Linked DNA regions of Arabidopsis thaliana. The protein of the gene in region 2 purifies or fractionates together with the protein of the main gene of each other region. This does not show direct contact. Each region holds a gene or a part of one and is shown on either strand. Other genes may lie near its edges.

Region 1 (6,173 bases), on a different chromosome or scaffold from region 2:
ACGGGCTGACTTTTGCTGCCATTGGAGGTGTTCATTGGTGTTGAACAGTTGGTGCAGAACTTTAGAGCTAAGAGAGATTTCTTCAATGGAGCACACATTACAATGACTAAAGTAGCAAGAACTCATTATTAGCTGGATCCTGCGCTCATGGATATCTCTGTTCCATCCCATGTCCTTCTGTTTTTGTATCTTGAGATGTTCATGTTATGTTGCATTGTTTGGATGTTTCTACGAATATGAGATTCTGCAAATATGAGAAATTTTGGAGCTCTAAAACTTCTTCAGAAATTTGCACCTACCATGGTAGTAGCCTAACTCTTGCGTCCACTTAAATCTATTTGACCAAGACAAGACTATCTATCAAAACAGTTTTGCTTACAAGTTATAACTTATAACAATTCAAGTCATCATGCTCTATTTGAAGATGAGATTTTCAATAGAGAAGGGAACAAAAACGATGGATTGAAATGTCAAGGAAAGAAAAGCAGAAATCAAGAAAACAATAATCTAAACGAAAGCTTTAAGAGAGTATTTCTGTGCAGATAAGTTACGTTGTGAAGTATTGGTTCCAAACTACAAATCACTGAATCAGGCTGATTTCTCTTTTTTCTTTTTTCTTTTGGTCTTGGGGTGGGGTTTCTTCACTAGCAATATGCCAAATATGATCGAAGGAGCTCTACATGAACAAGACACTTTCCGCTTGGTCTATTATTCTTATTAGTCACCTTGTAGGCAGTAGAGTTGCCTTATATTTCCAGATGCTGTCGCAACAAAAACATAGACTAAGTCAAAACCTAATGAATGATGCATATCAATAAAGTAAAGTAGGGATCGATTCAGAGAAAGTTTTCTTACCGTAAAGCCAGTCTTTGAAATAAACATGGAGTGCACTTGATAGCTCTCGTTTCCGGTTTTCTTCTAGAGGCGCCTCTTTTAACGATCGTCTTGTTTCTTCAAAGTTCTTAAGCTGATGACAAAAAAAATTGCAGATACAAGATCAGATATGGACAAAAATAACAAATGCATTTGTTTATCTGGTTAAGTATAACTTTAAAACATACGTTTCTCTGCTGAGCTGCCATATAAGCATCTGGCAATGGAAATGGATTGTCTTTCGTCGAACCAAGCTCCGCGCCGCTAAACCAGTTTGGGATCTGTGCCATTGTCATTGATACCACCGAAAAACACGTCATTAGATGCTTCATGACACTGAAAAGCATTCACCAATTATTGACGTAAATGTTAGACCCAAATAGAAAATGTACCAAAAAGTTTACGAACTGGTCAGGGTCTACAGAAGCAGCTGATTCAGCCTGTGCATCAGCAACACCGGCAGGATGTGACAGGGAGTCATGTGGATCCACAGCTCCCAGGGCCAATGGTTTGTCCCATTTGTTGATCGTTGGCTCAAGCCCTACCTCCCTCATGTGCTCTTCCAAATGAGAGTAAAATGTATTATATGGAGCGACCTGAAACAAAGTCAAATTGATGCCAGCACTTTAAAAATAGAAGCCCATAATCACTAGAAGCAATATCTGACAATGCCCGCACTCTTAAAAACCAGTAAAACCTTCTTGAGGAAAACATTTGACTAAACGTATCTAGCAGCAGTCTAGCCACCCCTCCAAGTTTGTTTCCACTAGACTTGATGACGTGTCCGAAACGGCTTATTAACCAAACTAACCAAACTAAATCTAGTAAAAAGTCTAGCCACTCAATTTTTTTTACCTTAATATCAGAAAGGTAAATAAGAGCAACATGACATAAAACTTGTAAATTAAACCACAATCTTAAAGAGAAGCTTCACCTGCAGTTTGTGGTTATCACCAACAATAAGTGGCCGCTGATTGACTCCCAAGAAGAATACACATTCACGACAATTGGCAATGCACACTCGTTTGGCAGCTACAATCACATGAACTCTTTCACAGTGCTCAACTTTTATTGCCTGCAGAAATAAATACGGAATTATGTTTGATACATCTTTTAATAAAAGTTGGCAGATATTATAACTTGTTAAATGTTGCTTTGACTATCTTCAGAAAAGATAAAGAAGGAAGAAGCATTGTTTCCATACCTTGCCAACAGCTCCCAAAACTATAGTAGTATCAGAACATCCGTGCACAGTTGCATATCGCAATGGTGCTAAAAGATAAATTACAGAATCATGGCAATTGACAACCTGAAAAATACACAAAACAAGGAGTTGACATGCTTGCACAGAGATTCCATGACTGGAAGAAAAACGGAACAAGGAACAGTCAGACCTTCACAGATCTACCCCTTAGATCGGAGGCTTGCTTAACAAGTGAAGTCTTGGAGACTCCCTCGATTAAACACGGGCCTCTAGTACTAGGTGCAACCTTGTTCGGAGCAGCACAAACATCTGACATCGCATCATCTTGATCGTTAGAAGGTCCGTTCTCTTTTCCAGAAATTCTCTCAGTAATGCTTTCTAAAGCGGAAGCTATGTTTTGCAGAAGCCAGTCATGCACTTGGGAAGCGGGGACTGGAACAGCGGGCATATCCGGATCAGAATTTGCAAAAAAAGGAGTAGCTTGGCTCAATGGAGATACATCAGATCCCTTATCACCAAACTGAACAAGAAAACGCAGATGCTCGAACGCCTCCATAGAGAAAACCTGAACGATATTGGACAAGAAAAAAAAAATTAACTTGTGTTCTCTTTCATTTCCTAAAAAATTCTTATTCCAACATCAGAATTTTATATTCTTGTAGCTTAGAACAGTGACACCCCCTGAGAATATAAGAAAGATTAGAACTTACCAATGATTCATCTCCTTCTCCCTCCACAGGCTCTGCAAGGAGAGAAATGATGTTTGCTAAATGTTTTTGCAGATATGACAACTGATGAGCTTCATCATCTGCCTGTGATGGCATAAATCGACGGCTGTTGCTGCGAACAAGCTGCAGAAATGATGAAAAGGAGATATAAATAACAATTTTAGCTCCAATAAAGTTGGTTCGACCCATGTGATGAGAAACGATAGAATACCAAAGAACAGTGACTGTAGAAAACACTGAAAAGCTTAAGATTATATGACTGTTTTCTAAAAGACTCAATAGAACATCCATACCACACAGGAAACAGAATATTACAGGACTGGAGACCCGAGTCAAAATTCAAGAACACACCAAGCATTATCACCAAATAAACCACGTGAAAGGACCAAACAAAATAAGGTACAACGGAAAAAGAATCAGATTCCGAACCACAAAACAAAGCAAGCTGGCGACTGTTTGACTTTAGTTAGTAAACTAACCAATTACCATTGCCCCAGAGTCATCAGAGAAAGGGGACTGGCAATTAAATACAAGTAAGCATCTTCCTCATTGAGAATTGTTACGAAACTATAGCCACCATCAATTCAATTAATCACCCAAATTTCCGACATTGCTTAACTCTAAGTTTCAGGTAAATCAAATGACTCAGAAAACTTAAACTTGCATTGCAAATTTTAGTTAAATACAATGCGAAATGGAAATAAGTTATTCTCTACCACGTTCCAATTCCATACTCGAGTACAACAGTTCCATTTCAATACCAAACAAATCGCAGGCGCTGGGATTGAGGCACATTATAATAAGAGGGCCAAAAAAAGTAAGAAACTTGCCTGAATTGGCGATAACGCAGACAAGTATCCATCAAAAGCTGAAGTCGATGGCCAAACATCAGCCACCGCTGCGGAGTCCTTATGCGTCCTAGGAAGCAACTTCTTATACGATTGAATGTACAGGAACAAAATAAGATCCCGCAAATCAGCTCCGACGGAATCAACTTCCTCAGGTTTCGCCCGAACCAGAGGGTCAGACTCGGAATGAAGCACCGAACCGAGAGTCTCGAGAACGAGACGCGCATGGTCGCCGGAGATCTGGAGAACGTCGGCGATTGCAGCCGATCCAACGCGGTTATTCGAAGCCGCATCGGCTAGCTTCTGCTTGACAGGGGCTAAGGTTTGGATCGGGTCGGTGAAAACGAGTTTCTGGATCGGGAGGAGTCCGTGCTCGAAAGACACACGCCTTGGATGGATTACTGAATTCGGATTCGTGCTCGAGTTTGGTTCAGGGTCGGGTGCTGAAGGTGGTGGTGATTGGTCGATGAGGTCTTGTTCTTCAGTCATGATTGATTCGTCGCGCGAGGTAGAGAGACAGAAGAGATAGAGAGAGACTGGTCCGGTGGTGAAGTTGCAGATCTTTCTTTGGGTGACGAATCATTTCATTGAAGGAGAAGAGCAGAGAGAGAGATGGTTACAGTGCGTGCACGTGTATGTTAGTAACGTACGCTTCGTTTCTTTGGTCGTTGGATTTACGAGTAGATTAACCTTTGATCTGAGCTATGACACGTCAGATGAACGGAGATAACATGTTAACTAAAGAGGCCCATTTGAGAATTGAATGCAAATCGCATTTAAGTTTTAGTTAGGCCATTGTTGCAATAAGTTAGGTCCTAAGCGTTCGTCAAAAGGAGAAAAGGTGATCATCACAACTCATAATTAGGTTTTACAATAGGGAAATATACTTGGTTACCTAAGTACTTGTAAGTTGTCACTGTTAATTAAAATTGTTAGAAGATTAGTGGGAAAAAGAGAGATAAAATTGGGAAGTTTAGGCCAAAAGAACTCATAACTCGCTTTCATTGCAATTTAAATATTGTCCGCTTGTTTAAGGAAAATGGTTTGCAATGGGTAAACATCGTTTAAATGAGACGGTTATGTTTTTTAGCAGTTACAGAAAAAGGCGGGTAGAAAAAAACGGTTAGAAAAGATGAACAACCTAAAATTAAACCAATTGGTAATATCGTTTAAATAAGGCGGTTATTTTATTTAACACTTACAAAAAAGACTGATAAAAAAAAACGGTTAGAAAATATATTAAAAGAAAAAATGATAAATAATTTAAAATGAACCGTTAAATAATAGTTATGATTAGTAACAAACGGTTAAACAGTAAAAAAAAAAAACTAAATTAAAATATTTAATAAATAACTAAAAATATTTAAAAAACAAAGAAAAACAAAACTCTTTAGTAAATAATTCAAATACATTACAGTTTTAAAAATCTAAGAAACGTTAAATAACTAAAATATTCCAATGGTGAACAAGAGAGGTTGCAAACTCACCTATTTTGTTTAAGCTTTTAACCGTTTGTTTCAATCACCTATTCTTACCACTCGTTTCATCCGTCTATTGCAAGCAATTATTTGATTGGTAATCAAACTAACGGTTGAATTTATCGCCGTTAAATAAATGTTATCAAGCTACTATTGGAATTCGGAAAGGGAACACTATCAACTTTTGGATTCTTAGGTTATCTCATTCATTCAGCTAGCTCAATATTCTGATTTGATTTGATTTGATCCGTTTCGATTCGGTATTTGATTTAATTTGATTCGAAAAATCCGAATATTCGTAAGATTTTGGAGCAAAGCAAATAGAAAAATATAGTATTCGTAAAAATCGAATCAAATAATAAATATTGTTTTTTAAAAAATCGAATATCCGCTTCGATCCGTATCTTTTTATATATATTAGAAAATATAGTATATCTATATATAGATATCATAAATAGTTTGTGTATTGTTGTCATTTTATGTTTTTATGTTAAGATGTTTGTTTGATCATTTTTTTTTATGTTATGTTTTGATCAATGGCATCAAAAAACTATCGGGTTTTAGTTTTGGAATTAGTTTGATAATATTTTGTTGACCGGTGATACCAACAACGGTTATGTTTGGTATTTAGAACTTATTTTAAAAGCACACGGAGACACCAATTAAGGAACGCACGGATAAATTTTTTGAATATATGATATAGTTATATAGTATACATATTTTTTTAATATTTAAATGTATCAAAGCGGATATCCGCAAATATCACAAAAAATTCCGGATATTCGAAATTCCGGATATCTGGAAATTTTCGAAGTAAAGCGAATCACAAAATCAAGTATTCGTTTAAAACGAATCGAATAACAAATATCATAATTTTTCCGGATATCCGCTTCGTGCCCATACCTAATTCTGAGTATAAAATTTAATATTTTTTCTTTATGTAAATACACAAAAAGTGACCATGAACCGTACAGTTTAAAATAGTCATTTTTCGACGAAACAATTACCGTGACGTTGTCTTTAAACCTCTGGAGAAAAGATT
Region 2 (7,239 bases):
TTTCTCGTGGCACAAAAAATGTTGTTGAATCGATGGACCTATTTTAATTGGGCATTACTTCCTTAGCCACGAAAGTTGTTAAAATCCATGTTTGAATAACATATGATTTATAAATTATACACAAATTTCTTAAAATTTTACTTTCAATACACCCCCTTTAAAGTTTGCTTAAATTTATAGGGGTAAAGGACGTGAGTTCGAGTACTCCTCTTAGCAATTCTTTTGATTTTTTTCTTCTTTCTTCTTCATCCCTTGTTAACGGCTGTTAGCTTCCGGATTTGATATCACCAATAGTTTATATACGAAGTATTTTGAAGCTACAAATAATTAGATGAGATATTTTTATTTCAACAAAAAGTATTAGGTATTAAACGCTCATTTTATTATACCGGTTTTAGTACATCCTGTACTGTTGCGATACATGGTTAGTGATCAGAATAGTAAACTTGAATTGGTCGGATTAGTAACTGCTTAGTGCTTACCATTGTTACCAGTTTTTTTTTGTGCCGATTTGATAAAACATTAAGCTAAAGCAGTACAAATCCTTAGCGCTTTCTCTTATCCATAAAAACAATACCTCTAAAAGATTCATGTCCTAGGATTCCTATAAAACAAGAACTAACCAACATATAAAGTAACTATGGCATTGATTTTCACAATTTTTGAACAACTGAAGATCATGAGAGTAACAAAGCTCTAAAGTACAAACAAAAAACCCAGAGATGGAGCAAAGTGAATGCAATACAGATGAAGAAGCCGTAAAGCGATGAGCTAAACGACGACGATTATTAATCAATATAGTTGTAAAATCAGCTAAAAATGAAGAGAAGTTAGAAAACAACTCCAAGCTAAGTATGATACTACTGGCTTCTCCCTTGTTTTTTCACTTGCCTTCTCAACAAAGCTCCAAAGATTCTTCTCAGGGACTTTCTGTTTCTCTTTTGCATGATTAACTAATATGATGAAATAACAACATATCCATAACCTTCAACTTCTAAGTTTTTTTGTTTCCTTTTTTAAAAAATAAAATCCATTCTAGAGATTATGATTTTCTTTTGTTGACTTGCTACCTCTTTGAACTCAGAAGGGAGCCTCCAGTGACGAGTCATCCCAAACCTCAGCACTTCCATTGGATGCATCTTCAACATCTTCTTCCATTGATAGCCGAATATACTCTCTATGTGCAAAACGGTCCCAGTCTGTCAATGTCGGGTTCTCGCGCTCCTGTTTTCGTTTGACATTTGAAATGTTATAAGAGGCCCATTGTGTCAAGAAAACAGCAAGGTTGAATATCAAACGTGGAGTAGTACCTGACGAATGAGGAACGGATCCCGGGTTTCAAATGCCATAAATTTGTTTAGATTAAAAAGGATGTTGAAGACGTTTCCAGAGAGCTTTGAGCCTTTCAGGTCATGCAGCGTTATATGGCTTTCGTTCTGTGGAAGGAAATAAAAAACAATCAAACACAAGACAAAATCGCAAGAGTCAGAAAGAAAAACTGGGAACCCAAACTACTTCTGTGACTGTCATATATCTTCCTTAATATAGAAAGAAAAAAACAAGAGACATATTGTTGAACCTCAGGTCCGATCATATCAATCATCTGACATAAGATATCCTCGAAAAGAACAGCCTCTTGCGCCATGCACTCCATTCTATGCAACTGCTCTTCATAAAAGAATTGCATCTCATTTCGCGTTATAATCCCATTTGCATCCAAGTCTATGCACTTAAACCTAGTCCAACGTATACTTGTGTCAGATAAAAAGACTTAAAATCGTATCTGTCTGCAACTTTCGGACCCTTATATCACAACTTACCAATATTCTAGGCTAGGCACTGACGATTTATCTTCTTCCGCAAGAATGAAATAGACAAAGTCTTCATACCCCATCTTCCCTTCAACTTTGCTAGTGAACTTCCTAGCAACCTAAGTAGAAACCAATGCATTATCCATGATGACAGTCCTCTTAAGAGTAATAATAACTTTGAACGAGGACAGAACTCTTAAATGGAAGCAATATAAACAAAATCCTCAAGTAGAAAGATTTTTTAGACAGAACCTGGGAGAATATTCTGTCGACAATCCGGTAGGTAAGAGCATGGTTTCCATATCTCATAAGATTTTCTTTGTCAATCAGGAAATCGTGATCCGTATCCAGCTCCCAGAACTTGCAGTATATGACATAGAAATGCTCATATGAGAAGTATCTATTTGCCAAAGTAAGTAGAAAAGTCATGTTAAATGAGCAGAAACAATACCATATATACAACAATAGCACAAATTTGTTTTTGTCAGTACCTCAACACTTTGTTAATATCTTCTTCTTCATCAGCATGTAGCATAGCATCAATTAAGTTTCCCCGTTTAAGCTCCCTAAATGTAATTCGACCATTGCCAGATCTATTTATGTAGTAAAATATTCTGTAGGTGACAGTTTCAGCTGTTTCATCAAAATGCAAATTGTATCAGCATGTAGCATAGCATCAGCTGTTTCATCAAAATACATGATTCATAAACAAGCTCCAGATTTTTTTTTTTTCTCTAATATTGATTCATCTGCAGGATTCATAGACAGAAGATGATTCATGCCGTGCTTGAAAGCTTTATGGATTTGCAAGTTATAAGATGATGTCTAACACAACACAACACAACAAAGAAACCGTATCTTATAAAATGTTTCAAATCCATACAGAGTAATACCACATTTATTAGTGTATCTTGATGCATCAATTATCAAAATTATCTTATTTCACTAGAAATACTATTGATGTGGTAACCATTCGACAGATTTAGATAAGTACATCATACCGAAAATGGCAAACTTATTCACTCATTCTTCTCAACTAGGGCTGTAGCTAACCATATACTTCGAAGAATAAAATGTACAACCAAACTCAATTACTAAACACCATTACTCAAGCAATACCAAGCAGAAAAAGAATACATTAGATAAATTAGGAAATGTAAATGAAGTTGAGACCTAACCATATCTTTCTTGGAATTCAGGTGTGGATTGCAGGAACTCTAGGCCAGGATGCGTCGCCAACAGTTCTTTAAGTAGTGGTTTGAAATCATCCTGCCATGAAAAAAAGAAAAGAAAAGAATAGAATCTGGAGTATAAACTCGCTTTCATGACTGACTGAATATGCAAATCAAAAGAAAATTACCTTAACAATGAAACTCTGATCTTTCTGCTTTAGGATCTTGAAGATTTGGGTCGTTGTATCCATTATCAACATGTTCCCGTTTACCCAAAAATCAATAAATGCATCTCTGTAGAAACAAACACGACAAAACTGTTATACTGGGTGGTGTTTCAGTAAACTATGCAGACATGAAGAGGAAGCACCATACAAAAAAAAAAGCATAGAAGCAGCAGCACACACCTAGTAACAAAACCTGTATTGTTGAGATCGATCTTCCGGAAAAGGGAAGTGGAGAAGAAAGATGGGAGCTTGCAGATTTCTCTGGTGACTAACTTGAATTCTGAGTATTGATTGAAAATGGAGAAAAAAGTTAATAAACAGTTAAAATATAAATAGTAGAAAACAAATGACTGACTTCTAACCTTGTATCTGCAAGCCATCCATGTGACCATAAAAGAAGTGATTGATTCTAAACATACATTGCTCTTTAATCTCGCTTGGTGGAGGGCGACCATTTTGGAAATAAAACTAGAATCATTTCAAGTTAAGAAATCAGTGAGTTAACTCCATTCCATTACTCTATATATATAAAGAAGGAAGTAAAAGAGGAAAAGAAACCTGAGGTATAGGCTCTTTAACAGGCTCGTTGACTACTTTGAGAGTAGAACCTAAGTTAGAAGGGGCTCTCTGTTTGGTTGTACGGGGTGAACCACAACTTCTTGGTGAAAGAGGAGGAGCGCTTCCCGCAGGAAACATAGATGGTATAGTGGCAGAATTAGAACCCGATGCACTTCCAGTAACATTGATAGGAGCTCCAGCTACAGCATCCTTAAGCAATGATCCAACCTAGAAAACCGATTAGGAAACGAGAAAAAGATTAGACTAGAGATTCCAGTGAATAGAGTAATTAACCTCAGTAACCTCCTAAGGCATCATTGTCATAACTCACACAACCCAAGAAAGATTCAACACCACAGAGTAAATCTCAGTAACCTAAGCATCATTGTAACACCCACTAACACTATCAAAGAAAGATTCAAACTTTACACCAATGCTCAACAGAAGCCAGAGAGTAATTAAGATTATGAAAGAAAGATTCGAACTTTACACGAATCTACAACTCACACAGAGTAAGCTAAGCATCATTGTAATAACTAACACTATCAAAGATCTGAACTTTACACCAATCCTCAACAGAAACAAATCTCAGTAACCTAAGCGTCTTAACTCACACTATCCAAAAAAGATTCAAACTTCATCACAGTAACGTAAGCATCAATGTAACACTCACCAACAGTATCAAAGAAAGATACGAACTTTACACCAATCTAACTAACACTATCAAAGAAAGATTCGAACTTTACACCATTCTCAGTAACCACCTAAGGCATCATTGTAATACTCACTAACACTATCAAAGAAACAAAAAAAAAGATTCAAACTTTACACCAGAGAGTAATTAAGCAACCAAATCTCAGTAACAACCTAAGGCATCATTGTAATACTCACTAACACTATCAAAGAAAGATTCAAACTTTACACCAATCCTCAACACAACAGAGTAATTAAGCAACCTAAGGCATCATTGTAACACTATCAGAGAAAGATTCGAACTTTACAGGAATCTACAAGTAACAGAGAGTAAGCTAAGAAGCATGAGTGTAAGAATTGTGAAGGCAATTCAAAAGGCAGAAACCTGTCGCTGAGCTTCGGGAAGAGAAAGCCACTGGTCGAAGAGCTTCTGAGTGAATCCAGGTTTAGAATTGAGAACAAAGGAAGACATTTCCTGAAGCTGCAACAAATCTGCATCCAAACAAGCCATATCTCCGGGAATAACCGTATCCACCATATTTAATCAATCGCATCAAAGTCGAGAAGATGAGAGAATGATCTTTGAGGCGAACGAAATTGGAATTTTGAACAAAGTCGAGATCTTCTTCACCAACACATCGAATCTAGTCTTCCTTCTTCTCCGATTCCGAACAAGGAAATGAGACAGCCAAATTCTTTTATTTATTTATTCTTTTGAGCAATCTGAAATAAATAAATAAATTAGAGAGATACCCAAAAAATACTTGAAACAGAAAAAGTTGATTTTAAGGGTTTATAATTTATTAAATGTTTGGGTTTGAGTTAAGTTTTTTGGGGTTTAGGGTTTATTTTTTAGAGTTTAGGATCTAGTTTTGAAAACTTTAAAAGTAATTTTGTGGTATTTTCAGAAAATAATATATTTTAGTGGTACTTTCAAAAAAATATAAACTACTAATAATGTTTTATAATAAAAATTAATTTTATGGTATTTTAAAAAATATGTCCATAAATAAATTAATATTTCGTTGACTAAATAATAAAAATAAGTAAGTGTATTTGAAGTAGAAGTTTTTTTTCTCAACATGTGGTTGAATTCTTGATTTTTTCTATATTTTGTCAACCACACATTAGTTAAAATATTACTTCATAATTGGTAGTCCAATCTTAAGGAAAAATATTTACGAAACAAATTTCATATAATATACTATCTAGAGTAACGAGTTAGACAATCTACCTTATACAAGAGCCATGAATTCTAGAAAGAAAAAAAGTTTTATATATCATATAAAAAATACTTGACGAATGAGAAACATATGATGTGTTTCATATCATGTTTTCCATATTTCATAAGGTTTTCTTTGTCAATCGGGAAATCGTGATCTTTATCTTTATCACATAAATTATAATATATGACATAGAAATGCTCTTATGAAAAGTATTTTGTTGCCAAATAAATAGAAATGTGTTGATATCAAAAAAACTGACACAAAACTATAGTTTGCAAATACGTGTAACTTAAAGTCTGACTCAATATTTATAACAACAAGAAAAAAAAACTATTTTTGTTAGTATCTCAACACTTTGTTGATATCTTCTTCTTGATCACCATAAAGCATATCATCAATTAAGTTTCCACGTTTAAGCTTTCTAATTGTATGTAGATCATATCTAGATCGATTTATGTCATAAGATATTTTATAGGTAACTATTTCAACTAGCCCATGGAAATAAAAATTGCATTCTTGAAAACCTGAGACATGGTAAAATCTAATCAGGTTCACATAATTTTTCTTGACTAAATCACATATCATATATAATTCATGTACTTTTACCAAATTTAGCAAAATTATCCCCTTATTAACAACATTAACTAGGGAAAAGAAAAACTATAGTAGTCATTTAGCTATGGAAGACAACAAAAATGATCATTCTCTATATGGGAGACTGCCATGTCATGCTTGCCAGCCCTAGAGAATCGAAAGGTAATAGAAGATGTTTAACACAACAAGAAAATCTTATTTTAGAAAGTTCATATACAAACTTGCAAGTCATACACTGTAATACCACATTATCCCGATGTACCAACGATGAAATTAATCTTAGGCATCTAGTAATGATATTAATGAGAGAAATTGTTAAGTGATATTTTTAACATTTTTTTTAGGTTTATTATGTTTTATCAACTCTTTATTCGGAAACAAGTCGTTTTGGATGTTTTATCAACTATAAGCCAAACCCTGTATTTCGCGATCTACCGAACAGATGCTCTATGGGGAGTAAGCTGAGCCCAACATCTCGCTCCCCAAATAATATGGTGAATCTGCCTCACTTATTTTTTACATAGCCCGCAACTCCCTCTTCAAATTATACATAGGTCTACTAGGCATAAGCCGAGAGACGTCTCGCGCCTAGTACACACCGAATACTTTTATCATAAAAGCCAAGCTTAGTCTCGCACTTAACATCTAACTCGGACTTTGACAGAAAAAATTGAGTATGACTTCTGGTGAAAACCAATCTACTCAAAAGCCGATCTCGAGGATTCGCAGGAAACTTATAAGTCATCTAACAAACTTAAATGTGAAAGTCATAAAATTGATATTAATAAATCAAACAAAGTTTGCTGCCATTACAAAGGCATTTATTCGGAAAAAGTAAAAAACGATCAAACAATTGATCTAATCTTATTAAATTTCAAAAAGCAGAAAACATCAGATCGCCCGATTCGAAACAGAATGGTTATCCCTCAGAAGGCGATCTGGCATAGGCCATACCAAC

Evidence for each region.
Region 1: the proteins of AT5G28850 (region 2) and AT3G57890 fractionate together in Arabidopsis thaliana (co-fractionation; one large-scale study listed by BioGRID). This does not show direct contact.

The regions. Positions count from the first base shown.
Region 1 is NC_003074.8:21,436,240-21,442,412, reverse strand, and holds AT3G57890 (Tubulin binding cofactor C domain-containing protein), read right to left. Parts: upstream 4,330-6,173; 5' UTR 4,143-4,329; coding exon 3,636-4,142; intron 3,125-3,635; coding exon 3,017-3,124; intron 2,929-3,016; coding exon 2,788-2,928; intron 2,643-2,787; coding exon 2,268-2,642; intron 2,183-2,267; coding exon 2,078-2,182; intron 1,949-2,077; coding exon 1,808-1,948; intron 1,470-1,807; coding exon 1,266-1,469; intron 1,155-1,265; coding exon 1,062-1,154; intron 968-1,061; coding exon 856-967; intron 762-855; coding exon 718-761; 3' UTR 525-717; downstream 1-524. Other genes in the region: AT3G57900 (import inner membrane translocase subunit Tim17/Tim22/Tim23 family protein), read left to right, coding at 28-132.
Region 2 is NC_003076.8:10,876,280-10,883,518, forward strand, and holds AT5G28850 (Calcium-binding EF-hand family protein), read right to left. Parts: upstream 5,207-7,239; 5' UTR 5,000-5,206; coding exon 4,847-4,999; intron 3,997-4,846; coding exon 3,769-3,996; intron 3,679-3,768; coding exon 3,573-3,678; intron 3,491-3,572; coding exon 3,391-3,490; intron 3,278-3,390; coding exon 3,172-3,277; exon of another isoform or gene 3,138-3,171; coding exon of another isoform or gene 3,081-3,137; coding exon 2,990-3,080; intron 2,445-2,989; coding exon 2,303-2,444; intron 2,212-2,302; coding exon 2,064-2,211; intron 1,931-2,063; coding exon 1,821-1,930; intron 1,737-1,820; coding exon 1,580-1,736; intron 1,437-1,579; coding exon 1,311-1,436; intron 1,225-1,310; coding exon 1,081-1,224; 3' UTR 509-1,080; downstream 1-508. UniProt on the Arabidopsis thaliana protein: Regulatory subunit of type 2A protein phosphatase. Involved in post-transcriptional regulation of HMGR but not in root growth regulation in response to salt.